Drosophila melanogaster: one gene and its partner. The protein of the gene in region 1 interacts with the protein of each later gene in a pairwise test. Each region holds a gene or a part of one and is shown on either strand. Other genes may lie near its edges.

Region 1 (4,276 bases):
TTTCAGATTGCGGAATCAGTCCGGGAAAACCCCTGCTCAAAGCTAAAGTTCGTCTTCGAGTCCAGCACCGATCTATTTGGTAGAATCATTGTTTACGATCTCCAGCTGTTCGGCTAGTCTCTGACCCAATAGATCTTACTAAATGTGTACAAAATCTTCTCTAATCAAAGTGTATAAAATCGGATCATTATCTATTGTGGTATTATCAAAAACATTGGTCCGTAATAGGATGGTCATGGTTATCAGCAATAATTGTGCTGATTCAGCCTGCCACTGCTGAAATTGATATGCGACTAATTTCATATAAATATTTCAAACTAGGTAAGCCCTTTAAGTGCTTACGAGTGTGGATCAAGGTTCAATGAAAATATTTCCACGCGATTCCCCAATTTGAATATCATTTGCATGGAGCTGGCTCGAAAAACACGCAACTTCATAGCGAAGGTGACACTCTAGTCCATGTCTTATCACCCCATATAGAAGCGTCATCAATCAGCTTAGCCCATTCCAATTGAAATTTCGTCATTTATGTATATTGCACCAAAACCATTGTTTATTTGTCCAAAACCGCACAGATAATTTAGGCATAGCTTTATGATTCGAATGCTTCATTTATAGTCGTGTTTCCAAGAGGCAACTATGCTGCAAGCGAGATCTCCAGGCGAGGGCAGTTGGGAATGCCACACTCCAGATCCGGGGAGGTGTCCTGGTGCCAGCAGCTCTCCGAGTTGCAGAACATGCATGCGTTGGGCGAAAGAGGGACGTTTGTAGAGAGGTCCACCATTTCCCACACTTTCTTTAGATCGGTAACCAGGGCGTTCATCATTTCAAAAGTGTGGAACGGGGTGGGGGCCAGCCGCAATTTCTCCTGGCCCCGGGCGACGGTTGGGTAGTTAATCGACTGCAGGTAGTGTCCGAATTGTTCGATCAGCACGTTTGAGATTTGACTGCTCTTCAGAGGGTCTCCGATCTTAATGGGAATGATGTGGCTGGGCGTTTCTTCGACGGGGAAACCTGAAATGGGGCCAATTATATATGCAGTCAGTAAACTGAAAGTTAAGTGTCTCTTTCTATATTTATAGCCATCACTTAAAATAAAACGAAAGTGCGAGAATAACCTTCAATTCGAGTTACATAAATGCCAGAATTACGTCTTACCTTCTCGCTTCAGCAGGCTCTTCAGGTAGGAGACGTTCCGTTGGTGCAAGTGGCGCAGCTGGCGACCCTCCTCCGATGCCAGGATATTGACGGCCTCCAGGGCGCCACACAGTACAGTCGGCGGTAGTGAGGTGGTGAAGATGAAACCGGCCGCATACGACCGAATCATGTCGACCAGGTTATGGGTGCCAGCTATGTAGCCACCAATATTACCGAACGCCTTGCCCAGGGTGCCCGATATGATGTCCATTTTGTGCAGCACACCATCCCGCTCACCGACCCCGGCCCCGTGGTCACCGTACAATCCCACGGCGTGCACCTCGTCGATGAACGTGATGGCCCCGTGCTCGTGGGCCACGTCAAGCAGCTCCTCGAGCGGGCAGATGGCCCCCGTCATGGAATGTACCGTCTCGAATGCGACGATCTTGGGCACGCTTTTGTCCGTCTGCTTCAGCAGCTGATGCAAGTGGTCCACGTCGTTGTGCCGGAAGATGTGCTTGGGAACCCCGCTGTTCCGTATGCCCATAATCATGGAAGCGTGGTTCCCTGCGTCCGAGAAGATCTCGCACCCAGGTAAGAGCTTGGCGAGCGTAAAGAGAGTGGAATCGTTGGCCACGAAGCACGACGTGAACAGCAGCGCAGCCTCCTTCTGGTGGAGCTCAGCCAGCTTACTCTCGAGGCGCTCGTGGTGAAGAGAGTTACCCGAAATGTTCCTGGTGCCGCCAGCCCCCGATCCGTGCCTATTGAGCGCGTCCTGGACGGCCCTCTTGACGCCGGGGTGGGCGGACATTCCCAGGTAGTCATTGGAGCACCACACCGTAATGGGCTTTTCCGTCCGCTCCGAGTACTCCAGGGCGTGGGGGAAAAGCCCGTCGCCTGCCAGGCGGTTCACCTTCTTGAAGACCCTGTAGGAATGGTCCCGCTTCTTCTTCATGATCTGCTCGTTGAAGAAGCGCTCGTAGGGAAAGGTCTCCTTGGCGGATGCCTTGCCAGGATCGGCAGAGGCGGGGGCGGAGACGGGAGCGGTGGCGTTGGCAGTTGCGGGGCCACCAGCATTGGCGTGGGCGTTCGCCCCCGTCGAGTGAGACCTTGTAACACTTGCGGCGACGAGTGAAAGTTTCTTCTCGCCGGATACCAAGGTCTTCCCAACCACGGGACAGTGGCTCCCGTAGGATTGGCACAGCGTCTCCGCGTAGTTGCGGATGAAGCTGGCGGTGAAGCGGTTCAAGAACGGACACTGCATGACGAGGCGCTATTCCACTTTTGAAGACCCGACCTAAATCAGCGAACTTTGAAAGCGAAGTGAGGTGTTCCGAAAATTATGCAAGAAGGTGATTGCGAGGAGGCGGGCGAGTGTGGCCAGAGCTGGTGAATGTGCGCTGCCCGCAATCAGCTGTTTGGAAAAATACCAACAAACATGTTCAAACAAATGTTTGCCGGTGTTCAAAAAGTTTTTGTTCGAGAATAAAAGCTCATTTTTTAAACTGTTGTTTTGGAATACAAGAATTGGAAATTTATTTTATTTCGAAGGGAAGTCCAAAAACGATGTTTTGGAATCTAATGCTCCTATTGATTGATTCAGGATCTAGTTGAGTTTAATGAATGTCTCGTCGTCCAGAATCGCGAAATTGTCCTCCCGGAAGTGGAGCAAATTCTCATTGAAGCACTTGCTGCTTTCGTTGTGCAATTTGGTCATCACAGGCTTGATGTTCTTAACTCCTGCAGTTTGCGACAAGTCCGTGAAATAGTCGATCTTGATAATAAATGAGAATAGAATTAATAACCAGATAGAGAAGTAAAGCCAACTTGCATCGCACTTGCTTGGGACCCAGCATGTGGGCATGGCGTTTTCTTAGTCCCTCCGCCCACAGTTTGCCCATCCTATCGCGGGTGTCCTTGAGCATATCCTCCGTGGACGGCAACTCGTTGGATCCGTTGTAGTAGCTCATGATGAACCTCGCTTGGATGTCCATCATTTGGGCGGCACAAACGTAAAACGGCAGTCCGATCAGAGCCATGGATGGGTTCCTGATGTTGATGCACTGCTTGTACAGCTCCTGGACGTAGTTGTCCTCCACATAGATGCCCGAGTCGACGGTCAGGAAGGGAAAGGCGTACTTGTAACCTGTGCAAAAGAAGACGGTGTCGAACTCCTGGTACGATCCGTCCACGAAAAAGGCTCCCTTCTCATCGAGCTCCCGCACATCGGGTTTCTGCTGTACGTTCTCGAAGAATGAGTGTTGCCCGATATCGGTCAAGTGGTGACTTATGGTGACCCGATCCGCCGTTCGGGAAATGATGTTCGACAGGTCCATGCCACTGGGACCAGCTCCAATGACCAGAACGGATTTACCTTGAGCAGAATGGAACACCATGTGAAATAACCTAATAGAAGTTATTCCTTAATTACCTTCGAAAACCTCCCTACTTCTGAAGTCGTGGCTGTGCAGGAACTGCCCTTTAAACCTTTCCATATTCGGAATTTGGCTATAATTCGGAGTGTGGTAGTGGCCATTGGCCACCAAGACCTTGTCGAAGTACTGGAACTCTATCTTGTTGGTGACCAAGTCTTTGAAAAGTACCTGCAAACGTTTCAGTTAAGTGGTTATATATAAAGCTGACTCCACGACTTACTTGCCACTTTGTTTTCCTCTGCAAAACTCGAATCACATAGCTATCGAACTTGATGTGCTTCTTCAGGTCGAAATGGTTCGCGTATTGGTTAAGGAAGTCGCAGATCTCGTCGGATCTCACATAGGAAGCCTCGTTTGCCCCGATTTCGAAGTCCGGGAAGCCCATTACCTCCTTGGGCAGGTTGGTTCTTTGAAGAGGCCCGGAAACTCTTAGAATATCAAATGGTTTTTCGAAAGATTTACGTACCGTAGGTTCTTGTACATGCTGCTGTGGACATCGATGCCATTGACCGCCCCTGTTGCCTCATTGTAAACCCAGGTGCCGCCGATTCGGTCAGATAGCTCGAACACAGTGGTCTCGAACCCATTTGCAATCGAATGGCGGGCACAGCAAAGACCCGCGGTTCCGGCCCCAATTATGCAAACGCTCATCATATTACAGTATTGGTTACAGCTTATATTAATTTTAATTGCTAGCTGCGATC
Region 2 (7,524 bases), about 14 Mb from region 1:
CCCTAAGGAGTCGAACTACAAACCCAAAACTTTGATTACCCTGCCCAGAACACACTTATTCGACGGATACAAAGCTGATCGGCGCAGCCACTTTCCTCGCCTCGCTTTGTTTTCATTAACTGCATAATTCAAGCAAGTTTGCCAAAAAGCCGCAAAAGGCCAAGAGTGAGATGCGAAACTGCATAACTTTGGCCATACTTCAGTTGCATTGCGTGTAATATTTAATTATAAGAGGACGCCGCCACTCCGCCCAACGCTTTCCATGAGCGGTGCAACTTTACGGCACTTGCCAATTGCACTTTGGTGGCAGCAGCCTCCTTGGGTGCGGGGCGGGGGTGGTATAAACGTCTTGAGAGGGCATAAAATATTTAATTGTGTCACGTAACTTTCTGAAACTGACTGGCGTACGGATAGATGGCATCCCCTATATACTTCACTGGCAGAGCAGTATGCATTACAATTTTAATTTCCGAAGTGGCGGGGGAAATGAGATTACCAGACGTCAAGTGCTGAACGAAATTATCTGAGTCGTCTAGCAGGTCGATTACCATATGAAATATACAGCTTTATTCATTTGCTTTACTCCTTTTAATACAATGACGTAATTAGTTTATGCTTCCATATAAAAAAAATATATGAGTGAAGAGAAATTTTCCGCCTGGCTCATTCAGTTTTCAATTTCCAATTAATCAATGCGATTAAAATCCGCCTTCGGTTTTTCGTAATTCGTTACCTTTACAACTATGCTGAGCAGAGAGTTTCATCAGATGCATTTTAAGTGTTGCTTTTAGTCGAGTCTTTGTATTTCGTATGATGCGTATTATTTTGCCATTCCTTAGAGGATTCACACACATTTTATATAATTTCTAGATCTGGGCTGCTCTCGTAATGGTGTTGTGAAAATTAAAATGCAAACAGCTAGACAGTAACTCCTTCGTTGGAGCTGCGCGATTCCAAAACGCGTCGCCGACAACAAAACGGGATCGTAAAATAATTTAATGGTTAAATTAGGAATATAGACGGGCTTAGGGCAGCGTGTAACGGACGTAGGGCACCTCCACATCCTCGCCATCCACATCGTTGCAGCAGATCTCGAAAACCAGGGATCGCTCGTGTGGCTCCAGGCGACGCTTGGACACGCGACGCACGACCTCCGACATCGGCAACGGCAGTCTCTCAGAGCACTTGGCCTTGGGCATGAAGAACGAGTACAGCATGGACACGCCCTGCGAGAGCATGGTGATCTTAAGCTTCTCATTCTCCTCGAAATAGTTGAGGAATTCCTGCAGCGACAGCTCCCCGGTCACCTCAAAACGGTCCCACAGCGTCCACTCCTTGCCGTAGTATGTGTTCTTGGCGGCAGGAAGCGGCTCAGAGAAGGCCATGAACGGCAATGCCAAGTTGGCGAAGCCGTTCTTGAATTTTACGAGATCCCGGTGGCCGACGATCAGCTTAATCACCTCGAGCACAGCCAATCCAGAGAGCACCGACGTGGTGGTGGCAATAGCAGGTATGATTTTGCCAGCAATCAACTTGGACTTGTGGCGATCCGCTGGCGGAATCTTGTAGTTGGCGGCGCGTAGATTTGAGCAGGCCACAATGAAGTCCATGTGCAAGTTACTGTCGTCGTCCTTTTCAAACTCAAGTGGCGTGATCTTGGAGCTTTTGTCGGCGTTCTTTAGCAGCTCTGAAATGATCTTGTCAACGCGATCCTGGTCCAACTCGCCGTCATCGAAGTTATTGGCCGAGGCGGCGGCTGCTGCCTCATTGGTTTCTATTTTCACGCCCGAACGGGGTTTAAACTCGGGCACCTATAAATCAATAATATCAGAAATGGTCCCCGACGGTATTAATCTCGAACAACTAACCTTAACCTTCTGTACCAGCTCTGCGATCGTCTCGCGATTGCGAACCTGCTCAATGCCATAGACCTCAGCTCGAAGATTGGCGGCTGCGTAGATAAAGTCGAGGTGCATGGGATCGTTGACATCAAAGACCAGGGGATCGGGGCACCGCTTGGGACCAGACCAAAACGGCTGACCACTGGAGGTGATCTGATCAGGTGGGAAGTTAAAGAGCAACTGCTTAATCTGGTTAACATATTGATCCTCCCAATAAAGACGGGCCCACTCCACGCAGTGCGCGAAACTCTTGGGTTTGTCGTCGATCAGAGCTTTCTGTAAAAATAAATTACCATTAAGTACAACATATTAGGCAAAGAAGTAAATTCTATCCTTACCTTGATGGAATCGAGGATCTCCAGAGGCTGAATACCAGGCAGCTTGGCGATTCGCTCGGTGAACTGAGGATCGGCGATGTACTGAGCAGCATTTTCTGCAGACTGCTTGAAGACGCCCTCAAAGGCGTCACGCGCCCACTGCAGAGTGTGCTCGATGGCATTGGGGAAGTTCTTCAGCGTGCAGATGGGAATACTCTTTTCTGGGGGATCCTGGGAGGAGCTATAAGATTCGGTGGCAAAGGGCACAATCACCTGAACGTTGCCCAAAGTTCCCAGAGTTCCGGTCTCGACGAGCGGAATGCGGTTGAAGATGCATTTGCGATCCATATATATGCGAGCATCCACGTTGTCCAGCGCATTGGCTACACCATCCAACTTTCCAAAGAAATCTTCGGAAAAGACTTTCTCTGTTTCGGCGCCAACGCGCAACTCGTATGCGGTGACATTCACTTCCGGATTCATCCGTTTGATAGCGTCGGCGGCCGTCATTGATTTAGGCTTCTGCACATCATGCGGGCGGAACAGGAACTGCCGGTTCAGATTCGACTTCTCAATGAGATCCATGTCTGTGACGAAAATCTGGCCATTGCCAGTTCCCAGGCCCAGCATTCCAAAGTTTTTCAATAGCTCACAACCAATGGCTCCGGCGCCGACAATAAACCATTTCGAGTCAGCCAACTTCTCCTGGAACTTCTTGCCAAATATGGCAATCTGAGAATCATAGCGCGAGCCCACCGGCTGGGCATCCGCCTCCTCGACACCCTCTGTGGGCAGACACTCCAGGGCGTCAAAGTACAACCACTGGTAGATGGGTGTAAACTTTCCACTGCAGGCCTTAAGCACCTCCTGGGCCACAATTCCACCAACGGCCGCGTCCAGCGGGCACGTATTACCCGAGCAGATTTTGGCGAATTGCAGCACCAGTTTTTCGTCGACTTCCGCGTTGCTGCTGGCTCGGACTACCTCGAGGAAGCTGTTGGCGTCCTCCTCGTTCCAGGGACGCGGTAAGGCTCCATTATGGGCCTTGCGGTAGCAGGAGAGGGCATTGAAGGCCACGTGCAGCGTGGCCGGCGAGTCCAGCTTTGCGAAATCGGAGATCAAAAACTCCGGCTCCTCAGTGGCCTGTGCCAGGGGCTTGAAGCTGATGGTCTTGGGCATCTTCACCTGGGTGGCCACTCCTCCGCTCTTATATTCTCCAAACTTGCTGGTATCACCGATGCTAAATGTGTAGGGTCCCAGCACTGTGATCTTAAGGGGCTGACAACCGTTCAGTTCCTGCATGCCCTGCACCTCCGAGAAGGTGACGTAGTCACCGTCATTAAAACCATGGCGCGTCTCGTCCAGGCAGGTGACGACTCCCTGTGCGTCGTGCGTGATACTAGCTATCATGGTGGAGATCGGCTGTGTGCCATCCTGATCGTAAATGGTAAAGCTCTCGCCAAAGTCACAGAACACCTTGGCGAACAGTCCGCGCGTCTCGGCGATGATCAGAGCAATGCCATTTTCATGGGCAAACTTGGCGATCCTCTGCTGCTCCTCCCCGTCGGAGTTGGTCAGTACCACAACGCGAAACTTGCGCAGGAACTCCTCGGTAAGCGGCCCCGTGTGCGAAACGGTGCGCACATAGTTGTTTAACTCGGCCAACTGGGCGCAAGAGGCCTCCGCACGATTCTTGCCGATATCGGCTTCCGTGAGATAGAATTGCGACGACAAGTCATGGAGCTGCAAGACAAACGAATAATCATTAATATTATATATCAACGGTGATGAAATTAGCAGACGGGAGCCATGACTAACAAAGGAAAATTGGTTCTGTGCCGAGTGTACAGCAAAGACATATTTGTCATTAGAACAAAAAAGTTTTTATGATACAAGAAAACTTTAAATTGAAAGGCTATTAACTAAATAATTGATATATTACGGTTTATGAGAAACTCATAGATCTTAAGTTGAATCTTTCAGTGCATAAAACAAAACCGAATGCGTTGAGCAAAGGGGAATGCAAACACAACGGCAGCGAGCGATGCGCATACGGTTGTCCCGCTCACACACTTTTCGCATGGCGCAGACATTTTGAGGCAAATAGAAAAAGAAGGAAAACCGAATTACACACACAAAACGAATTTTTTGCAAGCAAATAGAGATGTTAACCTAACCTTATTTCGCGCGAAGTCTATGATAAATAAATCAAATAAAAACTGAATGATTCACTAAGACCAGGGATGCCAAGTCAGCCTTTCCGGGCATTTCCCGCGTCCGCCTGGAAAATTATCGATTTTTTCTTCGCCCCACACACATACCCCACAAGTTGCTGTGTCATGCAAGGTGATCGATTTCACGCCGCCCAGAATCACATTCTTGGCTATCTCCAGGCCGAGTCCTCCAAGTCCCGACAGAAGGATATCCGAATTGGCCATCCGACGCATCGCATCGTGACCCAGGACGTACAATTGGCGCGAGTACAGCGATTCATCGATATCTCCGCCGGCGGCGGCACTGTTTCCAGCCATGTTGCTGCTTCCTTCCAGTTGTCGGTTATTAGTGCTGTTATTACTGTTATTGTTGCTGGAGCTGACGTTGTTGTTGCTGTTGCTAGTGGCGGATGCACTGGAGGAGGCTTCTTGCGATTCTATTGTGGTGGTGTTCAGGTAATTGCGCTTCTCCGGCCGCTTGCTTCCTTCCTTTTCCACTGCTGACGAGGTACTAACGTCGTCGCCGCTTCCTTGGCTCTGTTTCAGTTTCTGCTTTTCGGCTCGCTTCGCCGCAGCATTAACGCCGCATGTGTCAGAGGTAGACGACGATACGCACAATTCCAGCTGGTGCTCGCTAGTCGTCTTGCTCTGGCACTTGCCCGAAATGTCAACGCCGCCTGCTTTGTCGTGATTTTCGTAGTTGTTGCTGCTACTGCTGCTCGTTGCTCCGCCGGCTTCTTCCTCTTCCATTCCCATTGCCCCCACTCCGTCACCCAACAACTCTAAACGCCTTTTTTTGGCCAGCGGCGAATGGTCACTTGAGCTGCAGGCTGGCGAATCGGCCATCAATTGCTGACCGCTCGACATAGCTTCCTTGCTGAAATATTGGCAATCGAATTTCCCAGTTGCGGCTGCACCGCTCGCCCTCTCTCTTTCGCACACACGCACACTGCAGAATGCGGACACACGCACACGGATGGACACACAAGAACGCTATTTAGTCCGGAAGTCAATTTCCCGTGGTTTCTGACTCGTTCCAGGACAGCGGATTCTATTTGTGGCCGAATTTCTAACAACGCACTCCCAAAAATACAGAACACGCACGATCGAGTTGCAGTATAGAATTCGCAGTAGTGTGGCCGCGGCTCTTGAAATTGGCAAGCCTGCCCAGTGTGACCGACCTGTGTGAATTGGAGGTGGCACAATATAGATTTTATTGCGATGCTATCGATATTTCCGCAATTGGTTAGTTAGGTTTCTTTTCTATATAATAACGCCCAGATTAATAATCCAATTAATTCACATTATTTTAATAATTAAACAGACGGCTTTCATTTTTATTATTCTATTATTTGTAAGTTGGCCAAGTAAAACCAAATGAATTTACACAATTAAAATTGGTAAGCGGGACAAATAAATCAGATTCAAAACTGATTTGCAATACTCCAATTAGCAAAGAATAGGCAGTGGGTTTAAAGCCCAGCTAAGCGCAGTTAAGACTTAAACCTTTTGTGTCACTAACTTATCTAAATAATATTTTTTTGGAGATCTGGCAGGCCTGAATAGTCTAAGAGGCGGTGTTGGTAAACACAAGTTTACCGCGTATTCAGGATACATTTGAAATCGTTTATGTTTATGTTTTTACTACACCGACTGAAATATTAGATTTTGTTAGAGTTAGTTAATTCTTTTTAAACTTGAAAAAAAAAACGGTTCGGGTTCAAAAAATACAAGCTCGTTTAATGAAAATATGGCTCGCATTTTCAAAAATTTGTTGATTTCAATTGACATTTTTTTGCTATGTAATGTTCGAAATTTAAATGTATATTGGTAATATATTTATTTGATAAAATTTAAAGTGGGTTTTAATTTGTTTCAAACTGCTTATAAATAGATGATAACAGACTTCTGGGTCATTACTTTATTTTTCATAATTGTGGTGCAAGCACAACCCTGATATCTTGATATTATTCATTATAATAATAATAATTATTCATTATAATATAGCTTGGCTTCCCCATTATAAATTCCTATATACTTTGTACTGGTCAAACTTAAAAGTAACTTATACATGTATATGGCTTAAACTTGATATTTTTGAATTATGCCATTTAATAGATCGTTCTTATTTTTCTAAACAATTCAAAAATTGTGTTCCCTTCTTCTATAAATAAAGCAATATTCACAATATTTTGAATAAATAAAATATATTGGAATATTCGTTTTTGTGAGTGACATAATATCGATTGAAAGTTAATTTAGCAAATACATATTTCAAACGTAGAACAACCTCTTAATAGATGTGTGTTCAAAAAACTTAAATTTAATAATTCTTTACTCTCCGATTTCATCAACTTCTAAGCCATTAGCTCGAAATTGAAATATATACTTCAATGAGTTTGCTGGTCATCAATCTGTCGGCACTTGAGGCAATTATCCTGGCCCAAAAACCCCGATCGTGGCACGCGCCCCTCGGCAGTTGTCCCACAAACCAACACCAACTGACCCACGGCGAAGTCCTTCGGTGTCGCTTGGTCCTGGCCGGGTTCAATATCCTTTGAGAGCGGCTAATCTATTTTCGGTCGGGGTTCCCTTTCTGTTCTGTGCAACGGTAGTCGAGCATGAAAATGCGTAAATTTCCACGAAAAACAGAGAGCTATCCTATACCAGTTTTCCGAGCGGCGGGGGTGTGTCCTTTTCAAGTGTTGAGAGCGTGCCATTAGGAAAATGCAGTACGAGGGGCAACAGCTGCAGGATCTAAAGCCCGGATCTTGTCGCACAGTTGCGTAAAATGCATTTTAATTTACGCCTACAGCTGCGCGAAATGCTGCTCCCGTTTTAGAAATTCCCCCCTCCCTCCTCCGACGCTCTAATTTTAGTCCGATCTCGATAGGATCGAGAAACTAGCCGCGGACTTTATCGCGTGCGGTGTGTTCCACGTCCTTGTCGCGTGGTATAACCCGAAAAACACAAATTCCTGCCAAATTAGCATACTGATCCTGCAGCGAATGAGCGGGGGTGTCTGCTGCCCATCTGTCCTCCAAATATTCTGCATCGCGTGCCCCCGAAGAGATATAAACATGCATACGTATG

Evidence for each region.
Region 2: the proteins of Alas (region 1) and Uba1 interact in a two-hybrid assay, tested with the Drosophila melanogaster proteins (one large-scale study listed by BioGRID).

The regions. Positions count from the first base shown.
Region 1 is NT_033778.4:23,963,010-23,967,285, reverse strand, and holds Alas (aminolevulinate synthase), read right to left. Parts: upstream 2,515-4,276; 5' UTR 2,402-2,514; coding exon 1,159-2,401; intron 1,015-1,158; coding exon 638-1,014; 3' UTR 529-637; downstream 1-528. Other genes in the region: CG34213 (uncharacterized protein), read left to right, coding at 1-117; Fmo-1 (Flavin-containing monooxygenase 1), read right to left, coding at 2,744-2,911, 2,976-3,511, 3,569-3,740, 3,793-3,979, 4,039-4,226.
Region 2 is NT_033778.4:9,687,743-9,695,266, forward strand, and holds Uba1 (ubiquitin activating enzyme 1), read right to left. Parts: upstream 5,587-7,524; 5' UTR 5,299-5,586; coding exon 4,540-5,298; intron 3,962-4,539; coding exon 2,240-3,961; intron 2,178-2,239; coding exon 1,869-2,177; intron 1,812-1,868; coding exon 1,026-1,811; 3' UTR 547-1,025; downstream 1-546.